Linked DNA regions of Arabidopsis thaliana. The protein of the gene in region 3 interacts with the protein of the main gene of each other region in a pairwise test. Each region holds a gene or a part of one and is shown on either strand. Other genes may lie near its edges.

Evidence for each region.
Region 1: the proteins of OBE1 (region 3) and AT3G05935 interact in a two-hybrid assay, tested with the Arabidopsis thaliana proteins (one large-scale study listed by BioGRID).
Region 2: the proteins of OBE1 (region 3) and AT3G07440 interact in a two-hybrid assay, tested with the Arabidopsis thaliana proteins (one large-scale study listed by BioGRID).
Region 4: the proteins of OBE1 (region 3) and SCAB1 interact in a two-hybrid assay, tested with the Arabidopsis thaliana proteins (one large-scale study listed by BioGRID).

The regions. Positions count from the first base shown.
Region 1 is NC_003074.8:1,770,343-1,774,812, reverse strand, and holds AT3G05935 (uncharacterized protein), read left to right. Parts: upstream 1-2,152; 5' UTR 2,153-2,301; coding exon 2,302-2,585; coding exon of another isoform or gene 2,586-2,589; exon of another isoform or gene 2,590-3,279; coding exon of another isoform or gene 3,280-3,403; exon of another isoform or gene 3,404-3,629; coding exon of another isoform or gene 3,630-3,682; coding exon 3,683-3,902; downstream 3,903-4,470. Other genes in the region: AT3G05936 (uncharacterized protein), read left to right, coding at 410-751; GLP8 (germin-like protein 8), read right to left, coding at 3,630-4,177, 4,325-4,436.
Region 2 is NC_003074.8:2,379,571-2,384,131, reverse strand, and holds AT3G07440 (uncharacterized protein), read right to left. Parts: upstream 2,945-4,561; 5' UTR 2,722-2,944; coding exon 2,413-2,721; intron 2,309-2,412; coding exon 2,148-2,308; intron 2,063-2,147; coding exon 2,032-2,062; intron 1,883-2,031; coding exon 1,780-1,882; intron 1,334-1,779; coding exon 1,230-1,333; 3' UTR 1,211-1,229; exon of another isoform or gene 1,132-1,210; 3' UTR 763-1,131; downstream 1-762. Other genes in the region: AT3G07450 (Bifunctional inhibitor/lipid-transfer protein/seed storage 2S albumin superfamily protein), read left to right, coding at 202-522; YLMG1-1 (YGGT family protein), read right to left, coding at 4,183-4,561.
Region 3 is NC_003074.8:2,482,713-2,487,830, forward strand, and holds OBE1 (potyvirus VPg interacting protein (DUF1423)), read left to right. Parts: upstream 1-1,741; 5' UTR 1,742-2,273; coding exon 2,274-2,296; intron 2,297-2,381; coding exon 2,382-3,481; intron 3,482-3,553; coding exon 3,554-4,164; 3' UTR 4,165-4,414; downstream 4,415-5,118. Other genes in the region: Hsp89.1 (HEAT SHOCK PROTEIN 89.1), read left to right, coding at 1-127, 232-334, 425-599, 687-792, 890-979, 1,082-1,258; AT3G07790 (DGCR14-like protein), read left to right, coding at 4,779-5,118. UniProt on the Arabidopsis thaliana protein: Probable transcription factor that acts together with OBE2 for the maintenance and/or establishment of both the shoot and root meristems, probably by controlling the expression of the meristem genes such as WUS, PLT1 and PLT2 and of genes required for auxin responses.
Region 4 is NC_003071.7:11,403,256-11,410,268, forward strand, and holds SCAB1 (plectin-like protein), read right to left. Parts: upstream 5,167-7,013; 5' UTR 4,945-5,166; intron 4,630-4,944; exon of another isoform or gene 4,568-4,629; intron 4,494-4,567; 5' UTR 4,489-4,493; coding exon 4,207-4,488; intron 3,894-4,206; coding exon 3,765-3,893; intron 3,548-3,764; coding exon 3,455-3,547; intron 3,015-3,454; coding exon 2,874-3,014; intron 2,777-2,873; coding exon 2,708-2,776; intron 2,587-2,707; coding exon 2,503-2,586; intron 2,359-2,502; coding exon 2,178-2,358; intron 1,958-2,177; coding exon 1,841-1,957; intron 1,661-1,840; coding exon 1,602-1,660; intron 1,517-1,601; coding exon 1,382-1,516; intron 1,286-1,381; coding exon 1,136-1,285; intron 1,053-1,135; coding exon 1,002-1,052; 3' UTR 724-1,001; downstream 1-723. Other genes in the region: AT2G26780 (ARM repeat superfamily protein), read left to right, coding at 6,870-7,013. UniProt on the Arabidopsis thaliana protein: Plant-specific actin binding protein that bundles and stabilizes microfilaments (MFs). Has no nucleation or capping activity. Regulates MF reorganization during stomatal closure. The binding to F-actin is insensitive to Ca(2+) and pH.

The DNA.
Region 1 (4,470 bases), 710 kb from region 3:
CCAAAACACAAAGGATTTGTAATCTTATAGCAGCATCACAATCCGCGTAGGTCCATATACAGAGCATCTGCTTATGTGGTTTAACAAGAGCTGCCCATTTTAACAGATTTTGGATATTTTTTTGGGTTTTAAATGGAAAATAAAGAATAAAATCATGTGCTTTAAGAATCTTTCTTACTCTCTCTGTCTCTTTATAAACACATGCCTTTAAGCCACTTCCCTCACAATCATTATCATCACATAATTCTTCTCCTTATCTTTTTAAGCAAAAACATTTCCTTTTTATATTCCTGTTTTGTTACTGTTTTCCTAGTTTCATATCTCTTTGTTTCGTTCTTATCCTTCATTAGACAGTGACTCTGTATTGTCCTAAAACAACAACATACACACAACTTTATAAGAAACAGAGATGTTGCAGATTGTAGGCAAGTACCGGTGGAGACAATCTTATCGGTACAAGAAGCTAACTGATCATGGCGAGAGATTGACAACACCACCACCAGAAAGAACAACGAGGTCGCCGACCAAAAGACAGAACTTGGGGAAGAAGAACGAGACTCGAGCAAAAGGGTTCAGAGTAAATCGATCAAGGAAGCTGGTTCTTAAGGCACTAGCTTTGCCAAGAAGGATCTTTAACATTTATATGCGCATCACAAATCAGATGAACAAAGAAGGTTTATATCCTAATCTTGTTTTCTCTTCTCATTGGGGTTTCCCTGGTTTGCTGAATTCAAGAGGTGGATTCCGTTAGTGAGAAGATATCTGATTCTCATTACTCAAAAAACAATGAAACATAGAAATGTAAACCCACTTCCATGTTCTTCTAAATTACGATTTTTGGAGGATTATATGAACAGAGTTCAAGATTGTTTTTTTCTCTTCCATAATTCATAGCAAGTTGTAGAGTGATTCTATTAGAATCCTTATCACTATTGGTCAAATACAAGTAAAGTTGTTTTTTTCTTTTAGGAAGAAGATTTGCAGTCATAAAGGACACATGAACTTTACAGAAGATTCCAACTTAACAATACAGTATGTGATGATTTGTGACAATCACATTTTTTTCTTATGCATAAAGTAAAGATAAGACTTGGTCAGATAATAAAGAAAGGGTTTAAAGAAACACTAGAAGCATGTCAGTACAAAAAAATCCAACTAACTTCTTTTGTTGCACCCATGTTATAAAGGAACTAACTTTGTGGTACATAAAGCAAGCAAAACTTCGGCGCTTCAACTCCTCCTCATTTATGAAAACCCATTTATGCAAATATTGTGAAAAGGGAGAAAAGATACAGAGTATAAGGAGATTGGTACAAATTAGGAAAGATGTGAAATGGCAAAAGAGCTGGAGAAACTTGCACCAAGATCGTGAGGTATTTATGCTACGACAACATGATATATTGGATCATGTGCTTTCAACTGATAAGTACTATATATTTCAATAACATAGGTAGAGAGAATTAATGTTTTCATTTATCAATAGTGTTCTCTAGGTTTATGATTTGATAGAATGTGAGTTAAGGAAAGACTTGGAGCTGAAAGAGATACTAAAGGAGAACAGAAGTCTTAGAATTTTGGCAAATGCTACGTCACTACGCTATGATGAAGGCAAATAAATGTAGGGAATGCCATTGTAAAAGCTAAAGGTCAATAGTGGGAAATTTTTTATATGTTGTCTCTTAATCGGCTTAGAGCTAAATTTGATTTTACATTAATGTTCTTCGTCACTAATACTCTTTTTCTCCTTTTTGCTTAAGTTTAAACGCAATTCAAAACATTTTTATTTGATTTAAACGCCAATTTACACGTTGAAGCGTGAAACAAAAACAACATTTTTAAAATTTTCTCTGGAGTATATAAAATATTTGCGTAATAAAACCGTCAAACATATTTTGATATATATATTTAGTTTTTTTTCCACAATAGTTTGATATTTTATGCATTTAGAAAATAAACATGTTTACATGCTAAATGTTATAGGTTGATCGCGAAAAAAATAATACGGAAGAAAGGAAAAACATTTGCAAACCGGAGGACCAAAACAGCAATAAAATTGAAAATTTGGTTTGCCGAATTAAATTATTTTTCTATTTCATTATTAGTAAAACTAATTAATAATTTATTTAACACGAAAACTCGATTGCGATTTTTTGAGAGTGAGAAAGAGCCAGCGAGGCCTGGAAACAAAAAGCGTGAAGGAGACCGTAGCAAGTAGGAAGAAGAAACCAGACCTGGCTTCGTCTCTGATAGATCGTCCAATTTTCTATCCGAATTTTGGCCAACTGATTCTGGTTTCGGTGGATGAACAATGAACAGAACGAGAGAGATCCTGATAACATCAACAACAAGAAGAAGAAAAAGGAATCTCCATTGTTGATTTACTCCGTCTCGAAAGCAAAGAAACGAATCGTGTCTAAGTTCAGAAGGAGACCCTTATCGCCGAATACGTCTCCTTCTTCTGGGTTTTGGAAAAGAGTCTGCTTTTGTGGAATTGAACCTGACCCTGAAGATGACAACTTTAAGCTTAGGGTTCTGCTACAGACCAATGATTTCTTCTCCAAGGATTCTAATCCACATCTCTGTTTGTAAGTTCAGATATATATATATATATATATATATATAGTGTAGTTTTCATTTAGTATACCACCAATATCTGTATAGATCTTCTTTTAAACTTCATCAATATCAAAAGTGTGTTCATCAATGTTACCAAAGATTTTTGCAGAACAGAGTGATTATTGTTAATGAATCTTGTATATCTGCCTCTTATGCTCATCATTAATATCTGTGGGTCTTTCTTGTCTCTCTTCATAGTTCCGTATGATAGTTTCTATATGTCTCTGACAATGTCACTCTTTGTCCATAATATCCAAACTAGTTTGTAAGATCAGAAATTTGAGCCCAAGTTTGAATCTCAGAGTATCACACTCAACGAATATTAATTGCTAATGTCTGATATCTGTTTCCATGTGTTGAATATCTCTACTAGTAAAGCCCAAGTTTATTTTGGCAAGTGTTGTTTACCTTTGACACATCTAGGGTAACCATTTTCAATGGTTTTATGAATAGTTGAATTTTACTGAGACACTGATGTAGTTGTGGTTTTGAAATTGCTATATGGATTTAATCATCTCTATGAAGCCGCGGAACCCTTGTGCTAGTTATGCTTACTAAGTCTTGATTATGCAAATGGTTATCTCCAATCATCGTTTGTTTATTGAATCTGATTCTAAGTGATTATGAAGAAGGAGCTTGGATAGTTAATGGTTGATGTTTCAGAGTTGTAGCATGCCTCTGTGTCCTTTTTTGAGACACGATTTCCCTCTAAACTCAGCTGAAAGTTCAGCCATTAAATCTACTGGATTGAAAGCACTAAAGAGGACCTTAATATTCTTGCAGTATGGTATGTTTCAAGAACTGTCGATTGTTCAAAGATATATATATATATAGACTCTTAAACATGTGAAAACTGGTCTCATCGTAATCAATGGGCCAAATATAGTCAAAAGAGTATCTACAATAATAAAGAAAAGAATGAAAAAAAGTTACAAGCTTTTGCTTAGAAGTTTACATTTTTATGTTCATCATTGTATATCATTATTAGATTAGTGCTCTGGTCTGAAACTTATTTATTTCTTTGGTGGGAATTTTCCCTTAATCTTCTGAATCTCTGGTGCTGCAGCCCCGAACGCCTTGGCAAGCAGGTCATCAGGAATCGGTGGGTTAGAACCAAACAGAGATGGTCCAACAACTTGAGTCCCGGGAAGCTGGCTATCGAAAGCAGCGAGGACGGAAGCAGGAGCTTTGTTAGGGTTCTGCTGGAAATGGAGGAGAGCTTTGGGGAAAACGAAAACGTCTCCTTTGTTGACGTGTTTGGAGATGAGTTTCCCGGTAGTGGTTAAGAAACCGACGAAGAGACGGCCTTCAAGGACGAAGATGGCTTCAGAGGCTCTTGGGTGAAGATGTGGTGGGTTAAGTCCGCCAGGTGCGTAGTCGATCCGAGAGATGGAGACTCCCAGAGTGTTGAGGCCAGGCACTTTCTCAACGTTGGCTCCTGTAACAGCTGAGCCCATTGAAGAGTTGGCTGTGGCTGCAGCAGTGGCTAAGCCTATGAAGTAGAAGTCTTCTGGTGTTACTTTTGCTGGGTCTTTGCAAGGGTATCCGTTGACTTTCAAACCTAATCAGAACATGATAAAAAGTCAACAACAAAATATTGGAATTGGTCTTGGTTGTTTCAAAACACCAAAGCTGCGTTTGCAGTTAACTATATCTGGTAAATGTAAATGCAAGCAGAACATAAATGGTATAGAGAGAGATGTGATACCGTTGGAGAGATCAGCAACACAAAAGTCTTGAAGCATATTTGTATCGGCGAGGGCCATGTGGGCGGCCACGAGCATGAAGGTGACGAATATAGGGATCATGGAAGTTGCCATTGTTGATTGTTGTTGTTTGTAAGATGTTATTGAT
Region 2 (4,561 bases), 100 kb from region 3:
TTGTTATCAATATGCATGTGAAAATCTAACTAATTGCGTAGAAAACGTGGGCCTAGAAACAATAAAACCCAAGTTTCATGATCCATCTAATCCAACTCCATTAGGTTCTTCATGCAATTATTCTCTTTTGCACTCTCAGTACAAGTTATATATGAGCTTTCGTCTTTTTTGTACAAGACATTGTCACAAAAAGAAAAAGGGATGATTGTAATGAAAAAGAGTCAGGTTTTTACAGTGATGTTACTTATGGTTATGGTCCAGTCAGGTCTGGTGAGAGAGACGCTGGGACACCCATGTGGTCGTACATTTTTGTCGGCTTTGATTCAGCTAGTGCCGTGTAGACCATCAGTGGCTCCGTTTAGCACATTGCCTCCGAACGGGCTATGTTGCGCTGCCATCAAGACACTTGGTCAACCTTGTTTATGCGTTCTTGCCAAGGGACCACCCATCGTTGGCGTTGACCGGACCCTCGCTCTCCATTTACCTGGAAAATGTTCTGCCAATTTTCTTCCATGTAATTAATTTCATGTCTCTTGTTATCAGTTATTTGGAATAATTTCTCTAGAAAATCACAAAATGACAAAGTTTCTTTAGGATCACTATATATAAGAGATACAGATAAAACCTAGAAGAATAATCCTAATGTAATCTACAAGAGATGGGTAATTTTCCCTTCAATAAAGGAAACGCTAAGTAAAATAAAACTAAAACCCGTTACTTGTCGAACACTCCCAATACGAGTGTTTGATAAAATCCCTAAAACTACTAAAGGTGCGCTGCATCAGCTTGTATCTTCATATGCAGCTAATATTTCACTTGACTTGTTGTTTCGCACTTACACATACAAAACATTCTCAGTTTCTATACGCATATGGTTCTGCAGCCTTTTCCTAGCATCTAGTTGCATCGGACTTTGTGGGTTAACCTCACATTTCGTTTATTTTGGTGTCGTTGGGTGGAGAGAGCAATACGGCGCCTCTCTATATAAACTAATACAGTAAAACTTGGAAAAATCTGCAGCACGCAATTTGCTTACATGAAAGTATATTCACTGCATAAAGTAAAAACTAAACACAAACTTATATTATTCTATTTCTTCAGAGCAGCCTGCTCATTCTTCGCCTGCTCTACCTGAAATCAGAGAAAAAACATTGGATATTTATATAGAGTACAAGTAACGTCAAGCTCCATTTCATCTACTTGCTCTCACCATGTGATGTTAAGGGTATTCAATCCCTTGCGAATCTATCAGGATCAAATGGCCGTCTTTGTGCATTCCAATTCAAGTCCCTAGATTCTTGAGATTCTGGTGCTGCATTCATTGGTGCAAAGGCTGCAACGACAGAGAGATTGTTCAAGACAGCTGAGAAACTACAGTAAAAGCAGAATACAGCACACACATATCACCCACCACATGACTCTAGCTAGATTCATGCAAGATGCTCGGCTCAATTAGCATGTCAAATATACACGGTCAAGATGGTAGACAATAAGCGACATTCATCTAAATTCATCCCTTGCGCTCTATCTTATCTATTTACCTCTCTTCAATTTGCAAACGACATGTTTTAAAGCATTTCCCCAATTTTCTGATATATTTCAGGTAATAATATGTTAAGAGTTCCTATTCAACAAAACAGAGCACATGATGATGATGCAACTTTAACTTTCCATTACACCAAATAATTTTCAAACTAATTCTGTTCATCAGTTCATGCAGTAAAATGCTGAAGAGTATATAAAAGTACCATTACACTTATGTTGGTGATGAAAACTCACCTTTATCTCTCATCCTCCTTTCTCTATCATACTCAAACTTATCCCTGATTTGACTGACTTTCTCCCAATTATCACCTTGTGTAGTTCTATTAAACCCTTGCTCCTGCTTTCATTTCCGATTCTCACAAAAATCAGACTCAAGTTTTACAGATAACACAAAACAAAATCAGGGAAAACAATGAAATTAGACAGAAGTGAACCACAACAAGATCTCAAATCTACTCACTACAAAAAACATAATAAAGTTGTTACCTTTGTTTGATCGCTGAAAGACCGCCTGTTCCTGCAATGATTAAGAAGATCAACCAATCACAAAACCACCCATCCACACCTAAATATCATTATAAGAATATAGTCAGGGATTAAACCTGTATGGATTAAAATCTTCATCGTCTTCTTCAGCGGATTCATAATTTGCATGATCACTTGCGAGTTTCTTTGAATACCCTTCATCCCAATAAAGCCTCTCCCAGTTTTCTCTAAGCTCGTTATATAGTTCCATATACTTTTTGCACCATGGCTCATGTTCCTATCATTGCAATGGTTTAACAGATTTTTTTCCAATTGAACTACAACACAGAACAATTAAACAGTGAAGATTGAAAAAACTTAAACTTTGTGAAAGGAACTGACCGATTCTTTAAGGACGAGGCGAGTGCGGCGCATGAACTGGTCACGGAGCTGCTTACGGCGTTTGTTCGGAATGTTGTCCCTGGGGATTGTGAAACGCTCACGAGGAGGGACGTGATCACCGATCTCGTGCATCTCTCCGTCTACTATCCACCACTCGGATTTCTCTTCCTTCTTCTTTAGCGGAAGAGAAGGCAACTTGTTTCGCCGTCTCGGCTGACCTGCCTCTGTTCTCGCGAGTCGAATCTGGGAAACGCCGCCGTGACGTATCGACGGCAAAATGGAGCCTACCCGTCTGACGACAAAGTTCATGGCGGTTTTCCGGCGGTTTGTAAAGAGCGTCGCAGAGTCTGAGATTAGAAGTGAAGTCGGGAAGCTAAAACGACCTATACCAGAGCTGCTTTCTAAACCAGTTATGAACCGAAATTGAACGTTACTCGGTTTTCCTAATTCTCTTGTGATTTCATGTCTGGTTACGATTTCTGGATTTGAGGTTGAGTTTAGTCATGATAGAGCCAGCCCCGGCCCAATAAATATAAAAGTATTAGGGAAAAAACTTGTGTTTTTTTGCTTTGGACTTTTCATTATGTTACAGTTTTAATTGTTTTGGGCTCTAGATTCATAATAAAAACAAAATTGGATCTTTACTGTATTTTTAAAAAATATTGGGTCTTATATGAATTGTTTTTAAAAAGGAAATGAGCCTTATACACTTGCACCTTGCCCTACCCAATTGGGCCGGGTCTGGTTAGAACTTAACGAACTTGTGTGATTTTGTAAGATTGTAGTTCAAAGATTAACTGCACTGTGATGAGACCATGTCCATTGTCCGATTACGGTTTCTAAACCGGTTATGAACCGAAATTGAATCTAACTCGGTTGTACTATTTTTTTCGCATTGTATGATGACCATGTCTGATTACGGTATTTGGATTTGGGGAGATTTTGGTCATGTTAGAGTTCAACGAGTTTGATTTTGTCAGATCGTACATAATTTTATAATTGAATTGGCAAATGGTGTGATCCAATTCAAACTTCTAGTTTCTTTCTTTCTTTCATTGACCTTTTATTGAAACTCCAAAGAGTCTGATTTCTTTCTTTCTTTCCTCGAGAAACAGTGTCATTGAAACCTTGAACTTAAGATTACTTATTCCCTTGGAGTTTCAATGAAACCTTGAACTTGCTTTTGCCTAAACAATAAGACTCTGAACTCTACTCAAAACTCTATACCAATTCTATCCACACTAAACATTTTATTAACCAACGAAGAAGAAGAAGTAACATTAAAGAACACCATGTTCTCGGCCTAGGACAAGGTGTTACACGCAAATACTGAACTTATCTCCAAACACCTCAAATCTCATGCCAGATTCACATACATGTCATCATCTGGATTAGATACAAATGATAAATTCTACTACATATTAAACTAGATATCGAAAATCTAAAAATAATGCAGATAACACAACATGCCTATTCTTCTACAATACTTAACTTTCTGGTTCTTAATCAATGTCAACAGTTGAGAGAACGCAGATAATCCATCAATAAACGGTAGTCTGAACATGTAATTAGGAGATAAACAACAACCCAAAATCTCATTATTCAGAATCAAAGTCAAAAAGAGAACAACAAAAACGATAAAGCTCACAACTCTCATCGAGCATCCAACACAGCATCAAATTCTGATTTTTCCCTAATCTTGGGAAACAAGTTGCAGAAATTTCCCAATTGAACGTTTCAACAAAACCATTAGCTCAAGTCTTCCAATTTCTACCCAGTGCTGCCATGAACAATCGATCCAAGTGTACCAAGAACCGCGAAAGCAAGCAATGGACTAACATCAAGCGTATCGAAGATAGGAGGAATGATGTTTCTGAAGAGATTCAAGTAAGGATCACAGAGATCTCTAATGGCAGACAAAGGCTGTCTTTCCCAAGGGATATTAGGGAACCAACTCAGCAAAACCCTAACCATCAATACCCCACTGTAAATGTCTAGCCACTTCTTTATCCCCACCGCAACAACCGTCAGCGGCGTGTTCAAGTATCCCGGAGGACGATCCCGGAGAGACGCGAAGAAGACAGGTCCGGCGGTACTGAGAGAGAATCGTAACCCGTCGGCGATTACGGGACTTGAAGTCTGGATTGCG
Region 3 (5,118 bases):
CAGCTTGGATGAGTATGTTGAGAACATGAAACCTGAACAGAAAGCCATATACTTCATTGCTTCTGACAGCATTACAAGTGCTAAGAATGCACCTTTCCTCGAAAAGATGCTGGAGAAAGGACTTGAAGTATGTGTTGTTCTTCTGAATGGGGCCTCGTTTTGTTCTTCCTTGCAAATATTCCTATTAACTCAGAGGTGATTGACATGTATTTCTTTGTATTGTGAACGTAGGTACTATATTTGGTAGAGCCTATTGATGAAGTTGCCGTACAGAGTTTAAAAGCTTATAAGGAGAAGGATTTTGTAGATATCAGCAAGGAAGACTTGGATCTAGGCAAGTGCCTGATGTAATTCCTTGATTTAGCATGTCAGGTAATCACTTATGTATAATAACAAATTCTGGCTTTGATCTTTGTATTGACAGGAGACAAGAACGAGGAGAAAGAGGCAGCAGTGAAAAAAGAGTTTGGACAGACTTGTGACTGGATAAAGAAACGATTGGGTGACAAGGTTGCCAGTGTTCAAATTTCCAACCGTCTTAGTTCTTCCCCCTGTGTTCTTGTATCTGGTAAATTTGGTTGGTCAGCCAATATGGAGAGGTAAGATCTGACCTTTTTCTTAAGCAAGGATTTCCGTTCTCCTTTTTTGCCCCTGGTGAACTAACACAGAATATGTTATCTGGACAGGCTAATGAAGGCACAATCAACTGGTGACACAATAAGCCTCGACTACATGAAAGGGAGAAGAGTGTTTGAGATCAATCCCGACCACTCAATTATCAAGAACATAAATGTGAAGTCACCATTCATCATAACTTGTACCTGGCTATTATAATTAAATCTAGGAGCCGCTTTTTGAGCTTGGCTTGTTTTTTTCTTGCACCCTGCAGGCTGCTTACAATAGTAACCCAAATGACGAAGATGCAATGAGAGCCATAGATCTTATGTATGACGCAGCACTAGTTTCTAGTGGGTTCACGGTGAGTCCTATTCTACATTAACATTCTTAACTTTTTGTTGTCTCTAGAATTGAAATAAAGTAAATACTGGTAAAACTTAATTGTTGTTTCTCAAAACTACAGCCCGATAATCCAGCAGAGCTGGGTGGGAAGATATATGAGATGATGGATGTAGCTCTTTCCGGGAAATGGTCAAGCCCTGAGGTGCAGCCGCAGCAACAGCAGATGGCACATTCTCACGATGCAGAGACGTTTGAAGCTGAAGTGGTTGAACCAGTCGAAGTGGATGGGAAGAAATGAACACAAGCCTAATGTTTTATGTCCCTGCTACGATTCTCATCATATTCTTCTTCTTTTATTAGTAGTAGCAGTAAAAGTAGAACCCCAAAACTCAGAACAATAGGCAATGAGCGAATGATAATCTCTATTTATGTTGGAGAGATTAATAATTGATTGAGCTTGTTTTTGTTCCAGTTTGTGTTGATCCTCCTCGGTATAATTTTAATAACCGTTAAGAAAAATTCAGTTGGGGTGTTTTTGGAAAGATTTTTCGAGTTTTATCTAACAAAACTAAAATTTTGGGACATATGGTAATTTTTAATTAAATAGAGGGATGTTGTTATCGTACGAATTGGGTTGGTTTAAAACTTTGTTTGGACAGATTCGACTCAAACGTTGAACGCGTTTAAAAAAGTCAACAAAAGTCGAAGGTTACCGGCTGGTCAGGTTAACCGTTAGAGATTAATGAACTGGCAGCTGTATGTCTTTTTTATAGTTCTGTCTTAACAGGCAAAAAAGTGTTTAATTTATCTTTCCTTTGGGTTTCTCACGGAGTCACGGTTCCTCGTTCGTCCTCTCCCGTCGTCTCTCCGGTGAGTCCTTAATTTTCCGGCGGTCTTTTTCCCTTTCTCGTCTGTTTGGTGCTTTCTTTATGTCTGAGGCGAATACAGCAAAACGTATCTGTTTTGGTTGTTGAGTTCGAGGCTGGTCCTGAAAATTCGGTGACAAAAAGAGTCAATAACTCTCGTGATCGAGTTGGATGCGTTGTTTTGAGGGTTGATTCAGTTTATGACTATGTATTTTGGTACTTGCAAGATTTTCTGATTTTATGAAGATTCGTGTTTGACTTTTATAGCGTATAATCTACGGGGCAAACAGATTCGAGCAACTTGTTTTTTTCTAGCGCTTGTTTTGTGTTTACTCTGTCATGTGTTTGTATTTTTTGAGCTTCCACTAGTGATTAATCATCTCAGCTCAATTTGAACATAGGAGATGTAGTTTTTATCTGTCGGTGGATTTCTAGGGATTTTGCAAAATGTTTTGGGCTTTCCTGAATTAGTATGTGATTTGGTCGTAAAGTATTTTAGGGATTTATGTGTTCCTTGGGGTGAATCTGACATTGACATTATCTTGGTGTCTGCAGCACTAAATTGATGGGCACATCATCTGGGTCCAATCTTCCTCACCAGATGCTACCTCCACGTCAGCAACTACAAACATCTCTTTCGCTTGTATCTTCAGATCCCCACTTGTCACGGTCTAATTCTGGCATTGTGCGTGAATCACCAGCTGAAAGTGCTAGCTCTCAAGAAACTTGGCCAACCTCAAAATCTATTATGGGAAGGAAGACAGATAGCGGAAAGACAGGGCCTGACTCTCATGATCAACATGTGATCCGCCATGTTTCCATTGCTGATAAGGTATCGCTACGGGACATAGCTAGAGAGAGACTTGACATAGTCGCTGAGAGAATGCATCGATTACCAGAAGAATATCTCGAGGAGTTAAAGAATGGTCTTAAGGCTATCCTTGAAGGAAATGGTGCGCAGCCTATAGATGAGTTTATGTTTCTGCAGAAGTTTGTCCAGACGAGATCTGATTTAACTTCAAAGACACTTGTCAGGGCTCACCGAGTGCAGCTTGAAGTTCTTGTGGTTATAAACACTGGTATCCAAGCATTCTTGCACCCAAACATCAATCTCTCTCAGTCATCACTCATCGAGATCTTTGTGTACAAGAGATGCAGAAACATAGCTTGCCAAAACGAACTCCCGGCTGATGGTTGTCCCTGTGAGATATGCGCTAATAGGAAAGGCTTCTGCAACCTGTGCATGTGTGTGATATGTAACAAGTTTGACTTTGCAGTCAACACATGCCGCTGGATTGGCTGCGACGTGTGTTCTCATTGGACTCATACGGATTGTGCTATTAGGGATGGGGAGATTTCGATGGGAGTTTCTCCCAAGAGCGTATCTGGGATGGGAGAAATGCTGTTCAAGTGTCGAGCGTGCAACCATACTTCTGAATTGCTGGGGTGGGTGAAAGATGTGTTTCAGCACTGTGCACCAAACTGGGATAGGGAATCTTTAATGAAGGAACTTGACTTCGTTAGTAGGATTTTCCGTGGAAGCGAAGATACAAGAGGCCGGAAACTCTTCTGGAAGTGTGAGGAGCTTATGGAGAAGATTAAAGGTGGACTGGCTGAAGCAACAGCGGCCAAGTTGATACTCATGTTTTTCCAAGGTAAGCCCACTCGCTATTGTTATATGATAAGGGTTTACTCTTTATAGACCTAACCATGTTTTGTGTATGAAGAAATTGAATTGGACTCTCCAAAGAGCCTTGAAAGCGGAGAAGGTGGGGGTACGATAGCACCTCAAGATGCATGCAACCGAATTGCTGAAGTTGTAAAGGAAACACTGAGGAAAATGGAGATAGTGGGTGAGGAAAAGACGAGGATGTACAAGAAAGCGCGAATGGGGCTTGAGGAATGCGAGAGAGAGGTAGAAGAGAAAGCAAAGCAAGTGGCGGAACTGCAGATGGAGAGGCAGAAGAAGAAACAACAGATAGAAGAGGTGGAGAGGATAGTGAGGCTGAAGCAAGCAGAGGCAGAGATGTTTCAGTTAAAAGCAAACGAGGCAAAAGTGGAAGCAGAGAGATTGGAAAGGATTGTGAAAGCGAAAAAGGAGAAAACAGAAGAGGAATACGCAAGTAACTATTTGAAACTGAGGCTGAGCGAGGCGGAGGCAGAGAAAGAGTATCTGTTTGAAAAGATAAAAGAGCAGGAAAGTGGTGGGAATGGTGGTGAAGCGTCACAAGCAGTGATGTACTCAAAGATCAGAGAAATGCTGCATGGATACAATGCATCGTCGCCAAGGGTAGATCCAAGATCAAACCAGCGAAATCCTTTCAGATCCAATCCTTAGATGTTTGTATTGTCTCTCTTTGTTTGTATTAAAAAAAAAATCCGAATCAATTAAGGTTGGATTTGTGTGTGAAGTATTGTGGTCTTTGTATTCAAATTTTGCACATGATCGTCTATGTTGGGCCATAATGTTATGCAAGCTTTGACACAGAGTGTTGCCAAAATCTCGATACTTATTCACTCGGATTTAGAGAATTGTGGATTTCGCTAATGGAGGGAGATCCATGTTACCTTAAATAGTTTATATTTGAGCCAACATGAGAGCCAAAGAACATCGCCACCGACTTTAAAAAGAAAATATTTTGCCCAAATGGATATTACAGAGTAGTTATTTGCAATAACGTCCTCATGTTTGGGTTATAATAACGATTTGATTTCTTACGGGGTATAAAGCAAAAGGAATCAAAACGTTTGGGGAAATAATGTAATATTCTGGAAACAAAACGCGTATAATCGGATTGATAAGGAATATTATATCATCGCCGATGCAATCATCGACCATCGTTTTGTTTTCCTGTCTACCCAAAAACAAACCCTAGTGTCCGAATTCTCGACAAAATTCATCGGCTCCAAATTCCATTCGTGCTTTTTGAATTCGCGTTCTTCTGATTCAAGATGTTTCTTTCACCTGGTCATTCTCCTCGTCAGATTTCTTCTCCATCGCCGTCTTCTTATTCCGATGATACCCTCCGATCAACGCCTCGCAGTTCTTCCTCGGAGATCATTCCTCGAAACCCTAGAAAACGGATGAGAGTTCTCGATGAGGACGCTTATGTTGAAGCAATCGAGAAGATCATCGAGCGTGATTACTTTCCAGATATAACTAAGCTTAGGGATCGGCTCGATTGGATCCAAGCGGTGAAAACCCGTGACCCGATTCAAATCCGAGATGCCCAGTTGAAGATTATCGAGAGGCGTGGAAAGAAGGCGAATCATCATGTTGGAGATACCGAGG
Region 4 (7,013 bases), on a different chromosome or scaffold from region 3:
CTTTGTGTTCTTTCTTTCTTTTTTCTTTTTTTGGTTTTTACATTGATCCTCTGTATGATCCCGTCAAAGATAATGATGTTAACCATGAACAAGTTTTTAAGTGTGGTTTCATTTATCTTCAGTTTCCTTGGATTCCTCAAATTACGTTTTGGAATTTTTAACTCTTTTTGTCACAGATATCTTCTAGTTAAAATGAAATCTTTGGTTACTAATCTAAAGACATAAATTCGTTTATTGACGAATCTAAAAACCATAAATCACTTGGATATATATTCATTCCCGTTTTTTTCCTCTCTTCCTTCGAAACTGCGTTTCAAACCTCTAAATCGAGCTTTTTGATTTTGAGGGTTAGTGTTGGCTTTGTTGATGAGACAATTGCGATAACACTACTTTTGTGTAGTTCCACTATATCAAAACTTTGTGACTTTGTCACATGTTAAATTTGATATGCATCTAAGGGCAGCTGGATTCGCAGAAGGAAGAGTGATGAGGTGGACGGTGGACCAATGTGGTTTGCTCTTCTTCCTTCGCATGACAACTTAACTGTTTCTTGTGCATGAAGGAACAAAACCCTAGTCTACTTTAGTTGTTGATCATGTAGTTGTGATGATCTCTCTCTTTTGTTCTATCTTTTTGTTGTTGTTTGGTTTTAACATTGGAATCTCTGTGAGATCGGTTAGTGAGAATGATCGACGATCATGGATTTTCGGGTTTGTTGCAGGATTTTGGCTGTGATTCACTTGCAATATATTGTATGCTTTGGGATCCAGTCCAAAACAAGCAATCCGTTATATTACCTCAAGGGCAAGTAAGATCAAAACAAATGAATAAACACAAGCCACCCGTTACATATAGATTCACCATCACCTCTTACTTCACTGCTCGATATTTTTACACACAATACAAGTACAATTCAAACAAATGCCTAAAACCTATATAAACTACAAAACAAATAAGCTCTTACGGATACTAAAAATCACAACTTAGGTAAGAGCCGTTCTTCAAGGGCTTTGACCCGTCTCTGTTCTGTCTTCTGGACCAGCAAGTGTCACCTGCAACACATCAGTTTCATACTTACATCAACACCTCTCTCTACAAAAACCAAAGTTTCTAACTCCATCTTAGTTATACTTACATTACAATCACAAGCAAATCTTCGTGCAAGCATGATCGCAGCGTTTCTTTCTCTCTCAGACTCAAAAGCTATCACAAATGACACTCCTTTCTTCGCCTGCCAATACAATGCCTGAGCTGCAGCATTTCCACCTCCTCTCACTCCACATAGCTACTCAATATGATCATCAAAGATTATGATATTATAGATCTCACCGTGTAACACTAAAAATATGACAATTTTCTCGGGGTAAAGTAGTATCCTTACCTGCATTGCACTAGAGTAGTACTCTTTTGCAATCACTGTCTTTCCCTTGCAAAGTTTTATCCTCATTTTACCAACATGAAACAAGTGGATAGATTCTGATGTATGGTCTTCCCCACTCATTTGGGTCACAACTACCTGTAAATTACAATAAGGGGAAATATAATATACATACAAGCACCAAATATATAAATACTAATTCCGAGTGTTAGAGAAACCTTACATTGAAATCAACATCGTGTTTCCGTACTAATGCCTCGACATAGCTACCCAATCCAGCAGCTGCACCAAATCAAGACTTTGTTATGTTTGATAAATCATCTAGTAATGACGAAAATCAGGACCGTGTTTGTTGATTTGTCAAAGTTAAGTAATATCTACTAAGTGACAGAACCTACACAAACCATTTGATCATGTTGACATAAACAATAACCTTTTACAGTAAATAACATAACAATGAACCTGGATCAATCTTTCCCACTGTGGATAACGAAAGCGAATGGCCATCGTAGATGATATCTGCATGCAAGACTCGTCCAACGTCAAAAGGCTCGGGAGCGTAAACTGATTTTGTGGCACCTGAGATAGGAACATAGTTAGGAAACATTTTCCTCAATGGGAACAATGTTAAACTTGATTTTGCCCTATTTACACCAGCCTTTGGAAATATATTGTTCACAATTCCAAAATCATTAGTTAGAAGAAACAATCTGATTTGTAATCGACTAGCTCACAGAACAGAACATTTTAAAACTCAAATATAATAAGAGAAAGAAAACAATGAGAAAGGTGAGTGGACCTGATATAAGCTCCTTCTTGGAGCCATCTGAAGATGAACGGTACCATTGTATCGTACACTTGGAAAGATCAGGTGCATCATTGGAGCAAGGTCTAACTCGCAAACAAGATCCTAGAGCTTCAGTGCCATCTATTTCATATACAAGGGATATATTTTCCTCGCTCTTTCTGCACATTGCGAGCTGAATCATAGAAAAATGTATATAGTATCAGAATCCACTATTTGTCAACCGCATACAGTCACAAATGTGGAAGTTAAGACATCAAAAGGACCTGGAATGCACTAAATAGAATATATATGTGTATGGAATATGGATCCAACTAACCTTCTTTTGTAGTTGAAGAAAATGTTTTGATTTCTCTGCAAGCTGATTTCTTAGTGCTCGAAGCTCATATTCCATATCCATTACCTAAAACAATACACATGATTTGACTTTTTAAAAACAACATAAGATACTAAAGAAGCATCGACTTAGACAGACAGATAAAGCCATTTAAACCCAAGAGATAAACCATCTTTCATCTACCTACCCTGCTTGGTTGATGCAGCATTTTAATCCGCCTAGCTTCTTGAACTTCCTTCATTAGATCTTCCATGTCCTGATACGATAAATTATAACAATACTCTGTTAACACGAATCAATGTTATAAGCATAGGACATTTACAAGATTATGATAGAAGCCATCACTAAAATACTTGTTTCCCAGAGGCACGAGACATCTGTTCATGTTCTCGCAGGGCTTCTTCAACTCTTTGTACAGCTGCTCTTGCACTTTCAATCTCAGCACGTGCAAACGCTCTTTCCTCGTCGACAAGTTTCTTAGCATCCTCTGAGGCCTAGTTAAAAAATCATACCCACTAATCAGCAAGATTATTAGAACACATCTGCATCTTTTTCAAGCTAGCCCATCTAGTAACCACTAATTTACAACCGACAACAGAAGACTAATACAAATGTCCCAAGCAAGATAAGAAAAAGAATCAAGAATAGTAAGTGAAAGATTATGTCTGTAAAGAAACTACATCATAGTTCTTTGTCAAAAGTAATAGAATATAAACTACTCAAATGAAAACAAAAAGGACAGACTCTCTCTTAATCATCTGGTTAGCTCAAGGACTAACAAAAACTGCATGGTATTAAGCCGTGGACGAAAACGTATTTGCTATTTTAGAGGACTTGGTTGTTTCAAGTGAAATGACATAGACGTCTCCTAACTATTCACCTCAAGTGACACGAGAAAAGAAAATATTGTCACTGTCTCAAAGGCACACTTTACCTGCTTTAAAAAAGACGCTAGCTTTTTCACTTCCGCTTTTTCTATGAATAGCTCTCCTTCTCGCTGAGTCAACTGAACAGCTAGAGCTTCAACCTAGCAGAATTCAAAATTCCAAACATACTTAAGATATAGAGGTGGAAGGGAAAAATGTTGGTAATGGGGATTGTGAGACAATTTAAGAACGCAGAACTGAAAATGGAAAAAAACACATTTCGGTTTGTAGAAAAGGCTAGAGGCGATATATATCACCATGTAAAGGAACGGAGCTAAATATGATGACTAAAAGACTATAAAAGAGTAAAAGACTAACCATGGCAATGGCTTCCTCTACATCATCCTTGTTTCTACCTGCCACACGTCCTCTTAGAGACTCCAATGCATCTCGAAGTTTCTTTAAAAGAACATGTTTCTCCAACGAAGTTGCTTCTTTGAGTTTTGCCTGCATTCGTTCCCAACCAAATTAGCCTTAAATTTTTTTTTCAATCATATCATATTTTCACTTTAGCAACCTAGATTAGCCTTCTTGATCCCCTATTTCTGTATTTATAACAACAAAAAATTCTTTGCTAACAAAAAGTAAGGTTATCACCGAATTAAAATCCCTCTTATTAAATCCTATTTAGTAGACTCAATCAACACAAAAACTAACATAAATGTGCAAATCAACTCATTACATAGTAACCAAAGATAGTAACAATACAAGAGACACATTTCATCTATAAGACCTCAACAAAAAGAGAATAATATCAGACCTCCTCAGATAGCTTAGCAGCTGCAGCCAAACCCTTCTCAAATTTATGAGCGAGGTCACGAACAGACAAACGTTTCTGCTGGTCCATAAGCTGCGCTGTCTCACGCGCAACAACCTCTTTCATGGACATCACTTTAGGATCGTCTTTAACATCAAATATTTGATCATTAGCTCCAATTCTATAATTAGGAAATCTACTTGAAGCAAATTTCACATCTGCTGATACTGCAGGAACACCATCTCTCTGTAATGAATCCCGAAAATCGCGTGTAACCCTTGTCATTGTATCTGTTTATAAACAAAACCAAAAATGCTTAGACAAAAACAAAATAAAAGACAGAAAATGCTAGTAGATGTCTAACCACTATGAATAGTAATATACTCCAATGGACTCACAGATCTGTTGTTGAATCTTCACAAAAATCTAAAACAACAAAAACAAAACATTGTTTTTTTCAGTACCTACGCCAATGTTGGAAATAACAATGGATTCAACACACATTTAAAAACATTTTATAGCTACAGAGATAAAGAATTGATGGATGTCAAAACCCTAGATTACCAAACAAAAGAGCTAACAACAACTACCCATATACCAATTTAGTAACAAATTTCAAAGAAGATAGAAATTGAAAGTCAAATTTTAAGAACTTGAAATCGAAAATCAGAACACAAAATACTGCAATAATCACGAACAACGTCGGAGATTTTCAAGAGAACAAAGCTAAACACTTCTCACCTGAATCCGATTAATGGATCAGACAAATGTTTTGAGTTGAGATCGAATTTGAGAAGGTCGTCGAGAACAGAGAAGGAAGAAGAAGAAGATTTGGTCTGAGGAGAAGGCAAAAAGTGAAGTTTGAGAGAGTCGTAAGCATTAGCTTTACTAAAAAGCAAAGACCGTGAAAAAATTGTGGCTTTGGTGGAAACACTGTCTTTTTTCTTTTTTTCTTTTTTTTTTAATTTAGTTTTGTTTAAAAGTTTTTCTGGTTTAGGTAATAAATTGTTGCATAATTTTCAACTCCGGTTGATGTGTGTCGCTGTCGGACTGTTGTTGTCTGAAACTTAAAAATCACAGAGCGGTCACGGGTTCTGTTTCGTGTTTAACTGCCACGATATTCTTTTTAATTGTTTTTTAAAAGGGAAAGTAATCAAAATGATGACACTAATAAGAGTGGTTTGGTGTGAAACTTAGACCTTTCTTACACAAATTTGGTAAAGCCAAAACTTTTTTTGGTCATGGGGATTTATTTTTTTTTACTTTTTATTTTTTTTTTTGTCATAAAGAAATTATAGAATCTTGTTGTGAAAGACGTAAAATATAATGCCCAAACAAAAAAAACGTAAATTGGCGGATAAACTATAAGTTCCCAAAAAAACATAAGCTGGCGGAAAAAGAGAATTCTTCGGAATCTAGATCCTAAATAAAGAAGATGAAGTAAACTCAAATTATAATGCAGAAAATATCAAACCAATCTCGAAAAAGGACGATAGTACAAACTAAGATCCATATTAACAAGACAAAATCTTAAAAAAATAAGAGATCCAACAAAGCAGAAACTCCACTTCTTTTAACACACCTGCAAGTACGATTGATCAAATCCAAAATAACATTTACCACCTCCTATCACGTTGAGAGCCAATCTCTCGAGAACCAAGGATATCATAACCCGACATGCAAGACCACTAAAAGAAACACAAACACCATTCCAGATACGACGATGACCACCAATTCGTCACTTAACGTCTAGATAGAATCCTTCAAAAAACAATCAGATTACGACAAAATTGTAAAAGAAGGACAAGAAGCGAGGCAAAACTTCTCAAAACCCACCAATCACAAGATCACCAATCACGAGTAAAGCCACAACTATTTTAATTAAATCATACAATATCCTAAATTAGGCTTTTCTTTTTGATAAATTAAAAAAAAAAAGATAGGATCATCCAACAAAAATAGTACAAACAAAAAATGTCAAAATCTTGCATCACCTCTAAAAACCTTTCATGTTAACAAAATCTTGCATATTTTTGCCCTATACAAAGTCTTGCATATATACAAAGTCCTTTGGTATATTGTTGTTAGCCACCTTATCTAACTCTTTTACGGGCTCTGTCCTCATGAAGAAGAACAATTTTTTTAATAAATTGTTACCTTACCACATATAAGCTTAATCTGGAATGGTTGTGATTTAATCAATGAAGATATTGCCTCAAACCTGAATAGAGGAGTGAAAGTGGATTTCAATTGGTTGGTTATCAAACCCATCAGCATGATACCTGTTAGTTTCTCGGCCATACCACTCAATCATTGCCATAAATATCATTGAAGTCTACTAGTCTGTTTGAGACATTCAACTCACACAAGTGGTGGGTTATTTTCTCTGACAAACACGGCCAAACAATAAAATTGCTGAAAACAAGAAGTTGCCTAAAAAACCAAAGGACTTGTGAGAAAAATGGCAAATGCGGGCTAGGATGGGCTGTGGATTAGAGGCCCAATATGCCTAATGGGATACAACACGACGTCGTTTAGACCAGCCATAGTTCTCTTGTCCGCCAAGACGGGAGAGACTAAGGAAAAGCATAAGAAGAGAAGAACCAAAGAAGAAGCAAAGAAGCACTGATAAATCTCTGCAACTCAACAAATTTCTGAGATTAGCTATGGAAGGTTCTTCATCTTCGTCTTCGTTAATTTCCAAATCGGACGCTGAGTTGGAGGAAATGCTCGATCGGATGCTGACGAGACTCGCTCTTTGCGACGACTCCAAGCTCGAATCCCTAGTCTCTAACCTCCTTCCTCTTACC